Linked DNA regions of Mus musculus: regions 2 and 3 are each reported to be linked to region 1. The links are microRNA targets in miRTarBase. Many come from high-throughput screens and were not tested one by one. Region 1 holds a microRNA gene; each other region holds the end of a gene's coding sequence.

The links. The annotated mature microRNA mmu-miR-654-3p reads UAUGUCUGCUGACCAUCACCUU and lies in region 1 at 2,995-3,016, shown strand. An mRNA with a match to its seed (bases 2 to 7 or 8) in the 3' UTR can be bound and repressed. Matches are read on the target gene's strand: a 7mer-m8 pairs with bases 2 to 8, a 7mer-A1 pairs with bases 2 to 7 and ends in A, and an 8mer does both.
Region 2: miRTarBase lists Lactb2 as a target of mmu-miR-654-3p. Seed matches in the 3' UTR shown: 7mer-m8 at 3,145-3,151.
Region 3: miRTarBase lists Crebzf as a target of mmu-miR-654-3p. Seed matches in the 3' UTR shown: 7mer-m8 at 1,091-1,097.

The regions. Positions count from the first base shown.
Region 1 is chr12:109,720,276-109,724,518 of GRCm38, forward strand. It overlaps Mir654 (microRNA 654), which reads left to right and starts at 2,943; the gene lies at 2,943-3,026. It overlaps Mir376c (microRNA 376c), which reads left to right and starts at 2,443; the gene lies at 2,443-2,528. Mir376b (microRNA 376b) reads left to right here and starts at 3,183; the gene lies at 3,183-3,264. It overlaps Mir376a (microRNA 376a), which reads left to right and starts at 3,506; the gene lies at 3,506-3,573. It also overlaps Mir300.
Region 2 is chr1:13,623,253-13,627,495 of GRCm38, forward strand. It overlaps Lactb2 (lactamase, beta 2), which reads right to left. Exons shown (of 7, transcript NM_145381.2): 6 at 4,104-4,185; 7 at 2,646-3,652. The coding sequence ends at 3,609. Among named protein-coding and RNA genes, the nearest start is that of Lactb2, 35 kb to the right of the region's middle.
Region 3 is chr7:90,443,347-90,447,589 of GRCm38, forward strand. It overlaps Crebzf (CREB/ATF bZIP transcription factor), which reads left to right. Exons shown (of 1, transcript NM_145151.3): 1 at 1-4,243. The coding sequence ends at 745. Among named protein-coding and RNA genes, the nearest start is that of Crebzf, 2.7 kb to the left of the region's middle.

The sequences.
Region 1 (4,243 bases):
CGTATAGGCCCAGAGGGAGCCTTCCATCTTTGAGGGTAGAATATTCTCTGGGCACAATACCTCACCAGCTGTCTTTTTCACAGGAGAAGCCTGGGCAGGATTGCCGCAGCTGTTCCAAGAGGCCCCAAGGGACAGTGTCCACATCATGGTGTTTGTTCGTGGAAGATATTAAACGCTGACCTCTTTTTGAGCACAAAATCCCTCCTTGAAGGGCTCTCTGTACCCGGTGTCAGGTTCAGGAACACGATGTGGGCATCAGCCCCTTGCTGATGGTATGTGAGCAGATGTCTGGCCAGATGGCAAGTGCTTTTGTTTATTTATTTTCTTATTTTGAGACTTGAGAGTTTATTGAATGAATCATCCTATAATCCAATTTCCCAAGGCAAATCTGTACATAAAAATCTAGTTTCTATCACATCGCTTCCTTCTTAATTGATTGACAGATTTGAGCAAAAACATGTCTAGCCTGCATTTCAGATTTTGAGAATTTTAAAGAATATACTCTGCCCTTCCCAGGTTCGCCTGGATCTAACCAAACGGACAAGCTCAAATATCAAATGAAAAATGATGAGAGCAAGATGAAGGTGGGAATCTCTATGAATATGTGGCACCCATATTGATTTTTTTGTATAACTCATTTAATATAACAATTTTCGATAACATTTTTTTTGTAGCAAGTTTTCATTGTAACCCAGGATACCTTTGAATTTCTTAGGTAGCTGAGGCTGACTTTGAACTCCTGCTTGCCTCTGCCTTCCAAACGCTGGCATCAAAGGTATGTTACCATAACCAGCTCAAAACTGTTGCTCTTGCAGAGGACCATAGTTCAGTTCCCAGCACCTAGACTGGATGGCTACAAGTTTAGCTTTAGGGATGTATTCTTCTTGCCTCCTTGGGTGTGCCCACATGCATACACATGCACGCATGGATAGTGAGACTACAGAAGGCAACAGACCTTGATCTCCTACCTCTACACATAGGCAAAGCAAGCATACTGGCACCACCACACGCGCGCGCACACACACACACACACACACACACACACACACACACACACACACATGAACCTAAACGTAGCTGGACATTGTTCCTAAAGAGCAGACCCAGTTCACACACAGCTACATTTGCCGTTGCTGCTCCTAGGGTCAGGACAGATGAACACATTTGCTCCCGTAACCAGCTATCAGATCCCCTAACGAATTCTGTCCTGCTTCTTTCTAGGGTCTCCTGGCCTCATAGGGCACTATGAAAGGAAGCAGGTGTAGCCCACTGGTAAGTGACCTATCCATGCACTTGAAGGTGTTTGTGAGGTTTTCTGCTTTAACAAGCTGTAGATACAAGGAGGGGCCTTGGCTCTTTGGGGCGAGGCCTCAGCATCCTTGGGTCCTCTTGTCTTTGGTTACCCAGCTTTATGAAACTCTCTGGCCAGTTCCTACTTTATTAAAACATGACCCATGACAGCACCACTATTTGGACATATATGGGAGGGCTGGTCACAGAGCATATGTTCTATGTGTGGGGACTATCACCTGGCCTACTTGTCTTCGGCCTCAAGGCTAAGATGACGAAGATGTTGGAGTTAATTAGCTGAGTTGGGGTTTTCAGTCCTTCTTTGCTTTTTTTTTTTTTTTTTTTTTTAACCAAAGATTTATAGTGTCGGTACTGGTATGCCTCTGTGTCTGATGTACTCAAAAAAGATTGGACAGGAACTTGAGCTAATCTTGTAAGGACCTGGTAGTGTGGTGATAGTAAGTCATGAATGTCCTGCTTAGCCATGTCTCAAGGTGTCTTTTATACCTATCCCCAACAGTGTCACACTAATGCATTGAGCCTGTGTGTTGGAGCCTTCTGGACTTAGCCCATTTCCTAGAAAACTTCCTTGATGTCTCCAGTGCTCCGTGGCACCTACGTGGATGCCCCAGCAGCCACCTTGATGACATCTCTCCCAAGGGTACCCAGGATGGGCTGTATGGGTGTGGAACTGGTTTTGGAAATCACAAGGGAACAGATTTCTTGTCATAAACTCTCTAAGAGGGGGTGGGGGTTTACAGTAACTCCCTACTAGGCTGTGTGACAACCAGGGCTATGTTTAACTGTACGGTGGGCTCTAGATACACTTCTGTCGCTCACTTTCTGATATTCAAAAGGTGAGTGCTCCTCTATGCCTCTGGTTAATCATAGAGGTAACACCCACATTTTCAGTATCTCAAGTGGTTCTGGGATGTTTCTGAATACAAAGTGCCCCCTAGGACAAAGCAGGTTATTCCAGTCTTCCCCCACCCAGAGAACAAAGGGAGAGATGGGTTCCACAGCCTGTGCTTTCCACAGCCAGGTTGTTCCTGGAATCTGTGTCCTCTGGGGGCTGTGCCGAGGGCGCCTGTCTGCTGCCTTCTTCATTTCTGACGGATTAGGCCTCGGCTCTTTCTCTTCAGGACTAAATCTTTTGGTATTTAAAAGGTGGATATTCCTTCTATGTTTATGCTTTTTGTGATTAAACATAGAGGAAATTTCACGTTTTCAGTGTCAAATGCTGCTGGGTAATGGGCCTGAGCTGAAGCCACCACCAGGGCAGTGACAGGACAGGTGCACCCTCTTGGGTAAGTGGGGGGTCAGTGGTCCACAGAGCATGTCCTCAGGTGCCCAAGGGCCAATGAGCAATCTTGAGAGCTTCCCTCATGGGCTGCCAACTCAGCCAGAGGTCAGGGGTCTCGTTCTGGAATCCCCCACAGCTAACAAGTCTTTCCCATTGTGTCCCTTCTGTCGCAGATAGGACTGTCCTATTGGATGTCCCAAGAGTTTAAGTCTGATATCTAAAAGGTAGATTTCCCTTCTGTGGTTTTATGTTTGCTGGTCAATCTGATGGGTTTGCCTGAGTTTTGAGTCTCATGTGCTTCCTGGGTGACATGATCCACCAGGGAGATGAGGCTGGGCGCAGTGCCCTCCTCGGTAAGTGGGAAGATGGTAAGCTGCAGAACATGTGTGTTTCTCATGTCATATGTCTGCTGACCATCACCTTTGGGTCTCTGCCTGTGGAGCCAGCTTGGCACAGAGGCCGAGGCGCCTTTCAACATTCTGTTTCCTCTGCCTGAGAAGCGGGGATTTTTTTTTTTTTTTTTGTCTTGTAATCTGTTTCAGATGAGCCAAGCAGCAAGCCTGGTCCTTCCCGGAACTCAGTCCTTCTTTGGTATTTAAAAGGTGGATATTCCTTCTATGGTTACGTGCTTCCTGGATAATCATAGAGGAACATCCACTTTTTCAGTATCAAATGTCGCTCTGGAACTATTTCTGGAAGATTCTGTAGGGTCTGGGGCTGGGGGGGAAGATCATGTAATAATGAGTGGGGCGTGGCCAGAAATGGCCTTAAGAAGCCAACTGAGTGTTAGTCTGATCTGGGTCTGATATACCGCCTCTTTGGGCAGCCTGCTCACTCTGCCCAGTGGACTTCCATTTCTGTCGACACAAGCACAAGCTCACAGCATCCTGGATCGAGTTGTTCTTTGATATTTAAAAGGTAGATTCTCCTTCTATGAGTACAATATTAATGACTAATCGTAGAGGAAAATCCACGTTTTCAGTATCAAATGCTGCTTGGGAAACCACCGAGGACATGACATCTTCACCGAAGAAAGCGTGCTATCCGTCGTCTTCCTGGGCTTGGCGGGGATAGATAGATTTGTGACTTGTGTGATGTGTGCCTATATGCCAGCCTCTCCCAGTGATGTGTTCTGAGACCACTGTGTTCTTTATATCCCTTCTCTGACCTCAAATGAAGTTGTTTCTCTGTGTGCTCACCATGTGTATGTTTTCTGGAGTCGGCTTCTTTTTTCTGTAGCGATATGTCTTGGAGAGCTCCTGGGTGGGCCATCATTTTGGGTAAGGGCGCCTTGGGTAACCCTTTGGGGGGTGTGCGGAGAAGGGGGGGCATGTGAATCATCTGGAAGTGTAACCTCCAAATGTGCCCCCTCAGGCTCACATCCGGACCGTCATCGCATCTGTCATCGCACCGGACCAGCTCTCCCCAGCGCTCCTTATCGTTTGCTACTTGAAGAGAGGTTATCCTTTGTGTGTTTGCTTTACGCGAAATGAATATGCAAGGGCAAGCTCTCTTCGAGGAGCAAATGCTGCCTGGAAGCATGGCTGGCGGCGGCCTGGGCCTAGCAGAAGGGTGTGGTCTCTCCAGGGTAAGTAAATGCATGGTGGGCCACCGAGCTTGAGCTCCTTCTTCGTCTGACCCTACAGATCT
Region 2 (4,243 bases), not on the chromosome of region 1:
TCTCATGAGATTCTGATTAACTGTGACTCAATTATAAATACCAGAGATTTTGATAGAAATTAGTTCACACACAGGATGATTTTCTCTGTTTAGGAACACAGATACAGTTTATTCCAATGGGAATAATTTTCCTCATTTAAACAAATACTGCATTTCCTTCTGGCTACCACTTTCTTTGTAAGACTGAGCTCACGTTTCTGTCAGCAGCCTATTATAGACCACCGGCTTACACATTCTTCTTTACTCTCAACAAACATAACTATATATATCTCATCTTGATAACAAGGACAAGAGCTCGATCAAGCCCTGATGTTGTTTTGCTCACCTTTGTTGCTGCAGTATCTGGCACAGTCCCCAGTAAAAAGCATTTAATAGATGTCACAGCTTTTATAGCTCTGTTGCTAGGCTTTTAAAATGACTAATAGATTTAGTAGTTCCCCATCCTTCCCCTTTGAGAAGATCTACTTGCAATGTGCACTATCTGAAGTATGCTGTGGCAATGTGACGACTGCATGGCTTTTTATTAAAAAAAATTTTTTTTTTCAAGTTTCAAGTCCTGAAATTTGCTCTGTTGACCAGGCCTCTAACTCAAGAGATCCGCCTGCCTCAGCCTCTGAGTGCTGGGATTAAAGGCGTGTGCTGCCACCACCTGGCTTTTCACAGATTTTTAGCTCAAAATGTCCTTTTCATCTTCTTCCCCAACAAGAGGTAACAGGCATTTCACTGGTTCAGAAGGGATGATGATGGCTAGGACTAAGACTGGCTAGGGGTAATGAACTCTGGAGGTAGAATAGGGACCACTTGGACATGTGGGATGCACACAAACCAAGAAGGATTTTTTCTTTAAAATTTTCTAATTTGATCAACTGAATGGTGTTTGTATTCAACCCTCTGGGAAAGAGCAGCTAAGAGGTAAGCTAATCTATTCATTTACCAATGAAACTAAATTCTATAAATTTTATTGATGTGTCACCATTTTTTAGTTTTTGGTGGTGGCACTGTGGAAGGCAGTTATTACTGATCACTTTAGGGACACCACTTGGCACTGACTATGCTTTCAGGTTTACAGTGTTTTTGTGGTCAGTGTCACCATTCATGCCCAGAACTTTTTACACTCTTACTGAAACTTGAGTAAGTCTGTCCCTTTTCCTCCAAATCATTCACAATTCTTTCCTTCTATACACTTTCCTGCTTCATGTAAGTGGAATCCTGATGTTTGCCTTTGGTGTCTTATCTCATGTAGCACTGTGTCTTTGGAATTCATGCACCATGCAACATCTGTCAGGCATCTCTGTTTTTAAGGTGTTTTTCTTTCAGCCCTGTAGATACCTGCTTAAGTCAGGCTTTGGGAATGGTTCTCAGAAGCTGAACTGCTCAGACATACTGTGAGTTTGTTTTATCTTTCAGAAGCTGCTCTATCAACTGATTGTAAAGGTCCCAGTTTCTTTGTACCTCAGTGGCTGCTCTTTTTATTTTCAGAAAAAACAAAAAAAAAACAAAACAAAACAACAAAACAGTTATCCAAATGGGCAGGAAGCTGGAACCTGTTCCAATTTGTGTTTGGCTTTGTATTGGTTAAAGATGAGAAACAGTTTTTTTTTTTGTTTTTAAAGATTATTTATTTAATTTATGTATGTGAATCCATTGTTGCTCTCTTCAGACACACCAGAAGAGGGCATCAGATCCCATTACAGATGGTTGTGAGCCACCATGTGGTTGCTGGAAATTGAACTCAGGACCTCTGGAAGAGCAGTCATTGCTCTCAACCGCGGAGCCATCTCTCTAGCCCGAGAAACAGTTTTTCTCTTAGGCATCTTCTTTGGAGAAACATTTGTTGTCCATTTGTGAGTTATCTGGGTCACTGGCTTTTAATTCTTGAGTTTTTAGTTATTTTGTAGTATGGAACACTTCTGGGTATATGACATATTTACATGGAACAAGAAAAAAATGTGTTTAGCTTGCATAAAAATGCATCACTGAAAAGCCCACTTCAGCGGGTGGGGTGGGGTGGGGAGGTGTTGCCTCAGGAAAGGCATCTTCCTGGAGCTCTCCTCTATTACCTGTAGACAGCTCAGGAGGCTAAAGTCTCTTCTCTCCAGCAATCAGTATTGCCGAGATAACCTTGGGGAGGGACCTGCTGAATTATTTAAGTTTCAGAAACTTTTTAAGACTTGTGAGTTATTTATTTCCTGAGCCCCATTAAGTTTCATTTACTTCCCGAGTCTTAGGAGTCTCCCTCCAGGACGGAATGTTTTAATTTGGAGGAAATTACTATGCAGTACCACTATTCTAACCATTATTTGAGAATGTTATTTATATATTTAAAAGACTATCTTGCCATCTTCTAATTAAAAGAAAACACTTTCTAGTATATAATTCATATATAAACGGATGGCCATTTCTATACTAAAATCTAAAATTGCAAAGCATGCTGTCGTGGGCTGGAGAGATGAGATGGCTCAGCAGTTCTGAGCAATGGCTGTTCTTCTAGAGGACCCAGTTTGATTCTGTGGACACACATGGTGACTAACACCTGTAACTGCAGTTCCAGGGAATCCAGTGCCCCTTCTGGCCTCTGTGCACACTGCACACATGGAGTGCACAGATACTCATGTAGGCAAAATATTCATACACATAAAATAAAATTTTAAGAATTACTTATTATTAATCACATAATATTTTAAATTAGTATATTTAGTATTTGTTAATGATCAACTTATGAATTGCTTATGGGATACCGTTACAAGAAAATAAACATAGCATAGAACTGTAGAAACAATACTTAAATGATATAATTGATAGAAAAGTGAAATAAACTTGGTATGTAAAAGGCATTGACAGGGCTGAAGAAAAGGAATGCGTATGCAGATATGTGTGCTGTTGATTGAAGTAGCTAAAGAAAGCAGTATTACTGGCAAATGCTAACAAATAACTGTGGTGGTTTGAATAGAAACGGCCCCCATAGACTCATGTGTTTGAATGCTTGGCCCATAGGGAGTGGCACTATTAGGAGGTATGGCCTTGTTGGAGGAAGTGTGTCGCTGTGGGCTTGGGAGAGCCTCCTCCAGGCTGCCTGCAGAAGACAGTCTTGTTCTGGCTGCCTTCAGATCAAGATGTAGAACTCTCAGCTCCTTTTCCAGCACCATGTCTGTCTGCAGGCTGCCATACTTCCCACCATGATGATACTGGACTGAATCTCTGAACTGTAAGCCAGCCCTAATTAAATGTCTTCCTTTATAAGAGCTGCCTTAGTCATTTTTGTTTTTTACAGCAATAGAAACCCTAACAATCAAACTCTAAAGTATTAACTGGTTTGAATTGTTCAAAATCTATTATTCTTAATAACCACTTTACTTAATCCATAGAAAATTGAAAAAGTGCTAGATTCTGAATTTCTGGTAAAACCTTCCAAGACCAAGGTTAGATCAGTAACCTGTCCTCCAGATATAAAATGTAATTTACATATTTTACAATTATCACGGATTACAAGTATCAAGGGTTATTTTCAAAGTTGTGCATTTAATATTTTCTATAAATATATAATCTATAGCTAAAAGAAAATACCATCTTCTAAAAGCAAAACAAGACAGAACTTCACTGATCTGTAACTAAAGGACGGCTTTCCATTTCTTGACAGGAGTTGTTGTGTAGACTAGAAAAAAAAAACAGAAAGTAAAAACAAGAGATAAGTACATCACTGGATTCCACATTTTTTTATAGTAAGGAAAAGTGCACCTTCCTTAGGCGAATCTTGTTGATGACTAGGTAAGCAATATGGCTGAGGCTTCTACACAAAATTCAACCTTGGGCTCACTTCTTGATTTTAAGGACTAGACTTTTATAACAATGCCTGATTTGACAAGCTCATCTATCAGCAGGAAAAAGTTACAGAACTCCCACTTTACCATCTCTGACTTCACTTAAAAGCTGTGCCTGTTCTCCACATGCCAGTACCCTTGGTCCCCCCAGGCACTGTGTGTCTCTATGGCAGAGGACTTGGACCTACTTCACTGAATGGGAGACTTAGGGAGACTTCAGGTGAGCTCCTGCAAAACTGTTTAAGTGCCAGGAGAAAAGGCATTAATATTCAGAAGGATACATACATATCTTCCCATCTTTCTCTAGTTTTCTCAAATGAAGCAAGAGATTATGCTCTGCCATCTTATGTAAATTCTCTGGAACATCCTGAAAGAAAAACAGGATAAAAGGAGTCCCATTTTTAAAGAATACTTAATTGTTTAGA
Region 3 (4,243 bases), not on the chromosome of region 1:
GGAGCTGGCCGATCTGCTGGACCCTCGGCAACCGGACTGGCACCTGGAGCCCGGGCTCAGCTCGCCCGGGCCCCTGTCCTCGTCCGGCGGAGGCTCGGAGAGCGGCGGCCTGTTGAGGGGGGACGACGACGACGACACCGCGGCCGCCGAGATGCAGCGCTTCTCCGACTTGCTGCAGAGGCTGTTGAACGGCATCGGAGGCTGCAGCAGCGGCGGTGACCGCGGCGGCGGGGAGAAGAGGCGGAGAAAGTCCCCGGGAGCAGGAGGCGGTGGCGCCAACGACGGCAACCAGGCGGCGACCAAGAGTCCCCGGAAGGCGGCGGCGGCCGCTGCCCGTCTTAATCGGCTCAAGAAGAAGGAGTACGTGATGGGGCTGGAGAGTCGGGTCCGGGGACTGGCAGCCGAGAACCAGGAGCTGCGGGCCGAGAATCGGGAGCTGGGCAAGCGCGTGCAAGCACTGCAGGAGGAGAGTCGCTACCTACGGGCCGTCCTGGCCAACGAGACCGGACTAGCTCGCCTGCTGAGCCGACTGAGCGGCGTGGGACTGCGGCTGACCACCTCCCTCTTCAGAGACTCGCCCGCCGGCGACCACGACTACGCCCTGCCGGTGGGGAAGCAGCCGCCGGAGCCGCGGGAAGAGGACGACGCGGCGGGAGGAGTGTGTCTCCATGTGGACAAGGATAAGGTGTCGGTGGAGTTCTGCTCGGCGTGCGCTCGGAAGGCGTCGTCGTCTCTTAAAATGTAGGGTCAAGTAATCTGCTCTTTATCCGCGTTTACCCCTTTCTCCTCCCTTACACCATGTCAAACACCTTAGTGGGACATCGTCACCGGACGCATTTCAGAGGCGGAAAAAAAAGTAATATTAAATCTTTTAAGTGTTTAGCTAAAAGCATGAATGTGACACTGTAACCAACTCCTAATGATAACCTGTGACTATTAAATCTCTCTGACAGTTTCTTTTTTAGGTGATTTCCTTCCTGCCAGGCTCCGTTGTAGGGGTTACAGAGCAGTCGTTCCCGCCTCACAACCTGGTAAGGATCCATCTCTTCCCGTAACGCTCATGCTCGGCTGCTTAGGCTACTTTAATGGGCAGACATCTCAATGTGTGTGTGTGTGTGATATCTTTTTCTGTTTGTTTTTCTTTTTGAAAGGTGGTGGGAGGGGAATCTTAATTTGGGCCTTGTCCACCCTGGAAACAGACTTGTGCTGGTCATTAATGTACTTAAGTTGCTTCTGGTTGAAATAGCTGTTAAATGTGTCCCCTTGTTCAGAGTTGCGTGTACCTAGCTCTTCTGTCCCCAGTGTGGACATGGCCTTGGATGACATCGGTTCCAACTGTACACAGAAACCTGCTAATAGAGATACAGTTTGGAGACAGTCAAACAGGTGAAGTTGAATGGAAGTTCCGAGTTGTACAAGGTGCAAATTGGAATTCCAATTGTAGAGCAACTTTTCAGAGGTTGACAATAAGTATTGAGGCATGCGCAAATGTGGTATTTTTCTGGAGATGACAAGTCTCCTAAAATACTTAATGAATGCCTTATAGTTTTCAGTAGAAAATGCAGAAATACAGTCTATTTAAAGACCCTAATAGTTCACCACTTGAGAAGTTGGAAATTAACATACCCATCAGATTTCTGTGTTTTAATTAGAAGACGATAAATGAAATGTTTCTTTGAGGACCAGCACAGTAATTACTAATCAATGAGTATGAAGAAATTGTTGAAAGTATTTATTTTTGTTGTATTAAAATTTAGGCTAAATTTCTGTATGATTAGATATTGAAGGTTGTGAAATGTGAATGAAAACATGTAAAGTGAGGCTTCACAAAGAATCTTTTCTCCATATTTCTAAAACTTTTGTCCTATTTAAAAATACTTGTTTAAATTAATGAAATGATCGATACTGTTTTTCCAAAGACGGAAAAGTCTTTCCTTAAAATACTGTTTTTTTGTCCACTTGTCTTAAGTGTGTGTTCTGATGCTCTGAAATGCAAGAGACATTAAATTCTTTGTGAAACATCACTGTTTGATAAAGGATATACGTATTTAGCATCCTTGTTTTTCTTTGTGCTAAAGTGGATACAGCTGTTGGGGCAGAAGAGACGGGACCAGCTGCTGGCCACATTTCCTGCTTTATTTTAAAAGGTAGTATAAGAAATAAGGAAACAGAGGTAATATCAGGGCTTCTGCTGTCTTTTATTTTTAAAATGTTCATAATTAAGTATTTTCCAGCAGTCCAAAGATGTAAGTTATCCTACACGTAAGATGTTTTATTTTGTTACTTGGTTATGGAAATGGAATCTTGTTCTTGCACAACTGTAAATGTTTTGTTGCTAGATAATATGATTTTGAGACCTAAATTAGTCTCTGGTTTTTCAGTCTATCACATTTTGTAAAAATCTCTACTGCACTTGAGCATGAATGGGTAGTAGCCAAACTCACAACTTGGAGTGACGGACCTGCTTCTACAAGGGTAGGATACAAGCCCCACAATGCAGCTGCATGGATTTCAGTGCCTATGAATTATATATATATATATATACATAGATATAGAAACCAAAAGTAGTTGGAAATTTATTTGAAATGACTAATTTGTGCTCTTTCTGAAGTATGTTAAATGTAGCTTTTGAAACAGAAGCCTTGAATTGAAATTTAATACTTGAACATTTTTGTATATATTTCTTTGTATATAATTTTGTGCAGAACCAATGACAAACATATGGTGTCATAATAAAATCAGGTTTGTTGATCTTTCAGTTATGGGCTCAAAGAATTTATTCATCTCTAACATGATATTGGAAAGTAATGGATGAAAATAGGAAAAATGGTTGTTAATATAGACTTAATCGAAAGGTTCTGGAAGTAGTAAGTTTGTTTTCCTAAAAACTATACCATTTCTGTGGAATATTTTCTTAACCTCAGTGCTTTTCCTGCATTTGAAGTGTGGGCTTGGGGAAAATTAGTTTCTGAATTGGGATGTTTTGAAATTCCAAGTACAGAGTCTTAGGCTGTCATTTCATAAATGGCAGTTTGGAGAATTAGGAATTCTCAACAGTGGAAGATCAGAGTGTCCTGTTTTTAAAGCTGCTTTCTTAGGTTCCTTATGTCTTATTAACTGTGTTTTTGTTTCCATTTCATTGTTTTTTTCTAGTTTTGGTGACAGTGATTTTTGTCATTTTTTTTGCATCAACTCATGGTCTTGTTTTTACATGGTAACTGCATGTATGTAGGATCTATCAGGGGCTTTAAATAAATTTTGCTCATATTTATGTGTAAGCACATTTTACTGTAAATGTTTGGGTTTAATTTACAGCAGTTGTTTATTTCAGTGTGTAGTAAACAGTATCTAGAGTGTTCTGTTCACTACTTGTTAATTAAAAAAGTTATGATTAATATAAAACTGTTGTCTTACTATTTTTAGAAAACTTTTGTGAATAATTAGTATTTTGATAGAGAGTTCTGAAATACAAAATAGATTGCTTTGAAAATTTCAGGTTTGGGTGTATTTACTGTGATGTTGAGAACAATTTAGTATTTGGGGAACTGTTTCAGGTTTTATTCTTGATTTGTACCTGTGTAAAAATGATAGAAAACCTTAAAATGTAGCTTTTAAATACCTGTCTTCCTATGGTAGTTAATATTCATACATTAATTGACTAACACATATTGGCATAGTATTTCTATCATAGTAGCTTAAGTTTTTGTCCTTTTTTTAACCATACTTAAAAGTATGTTTGTTAAAAAATGTAGTCACACCTCTGATATATCCAACAAAGTATTCAAAATATTTTAAATATCTGTACATTTCATACTCGCTAAATTAATCTCTTTCTCTTCTCTTTAAACAGCTTAGCAGTATCTGCAAAAACGAATCTTTTCCTACAACCTGTTAACTGACTGGACTGATGGTAACAGTAATTGTGGGAGCCATGTCGGTCAAAAATTTGGCATCTGCTGAAAGACATGAATGCCATTTCCAAGGTCCCAAATTACTTCTATACTGATTACACTTTCCAGAAATGGAGATATGAAAAGATTCTCTGGAATGCTTGAAAGACTTAATAGAAACCCATGAGACTAAGTTAATTTTGGAACAAAATTACACCTCTTTTTTTTCATTCATGGCAATTAACACTAAATTTATCGTATACTTTAAAAAATGGTAACCATTGGAGAAGAGAATTCTAGAGTTTCATCAAGAAACATTAGGTTTTACACAATCAAGGACACTTTGTGGAATT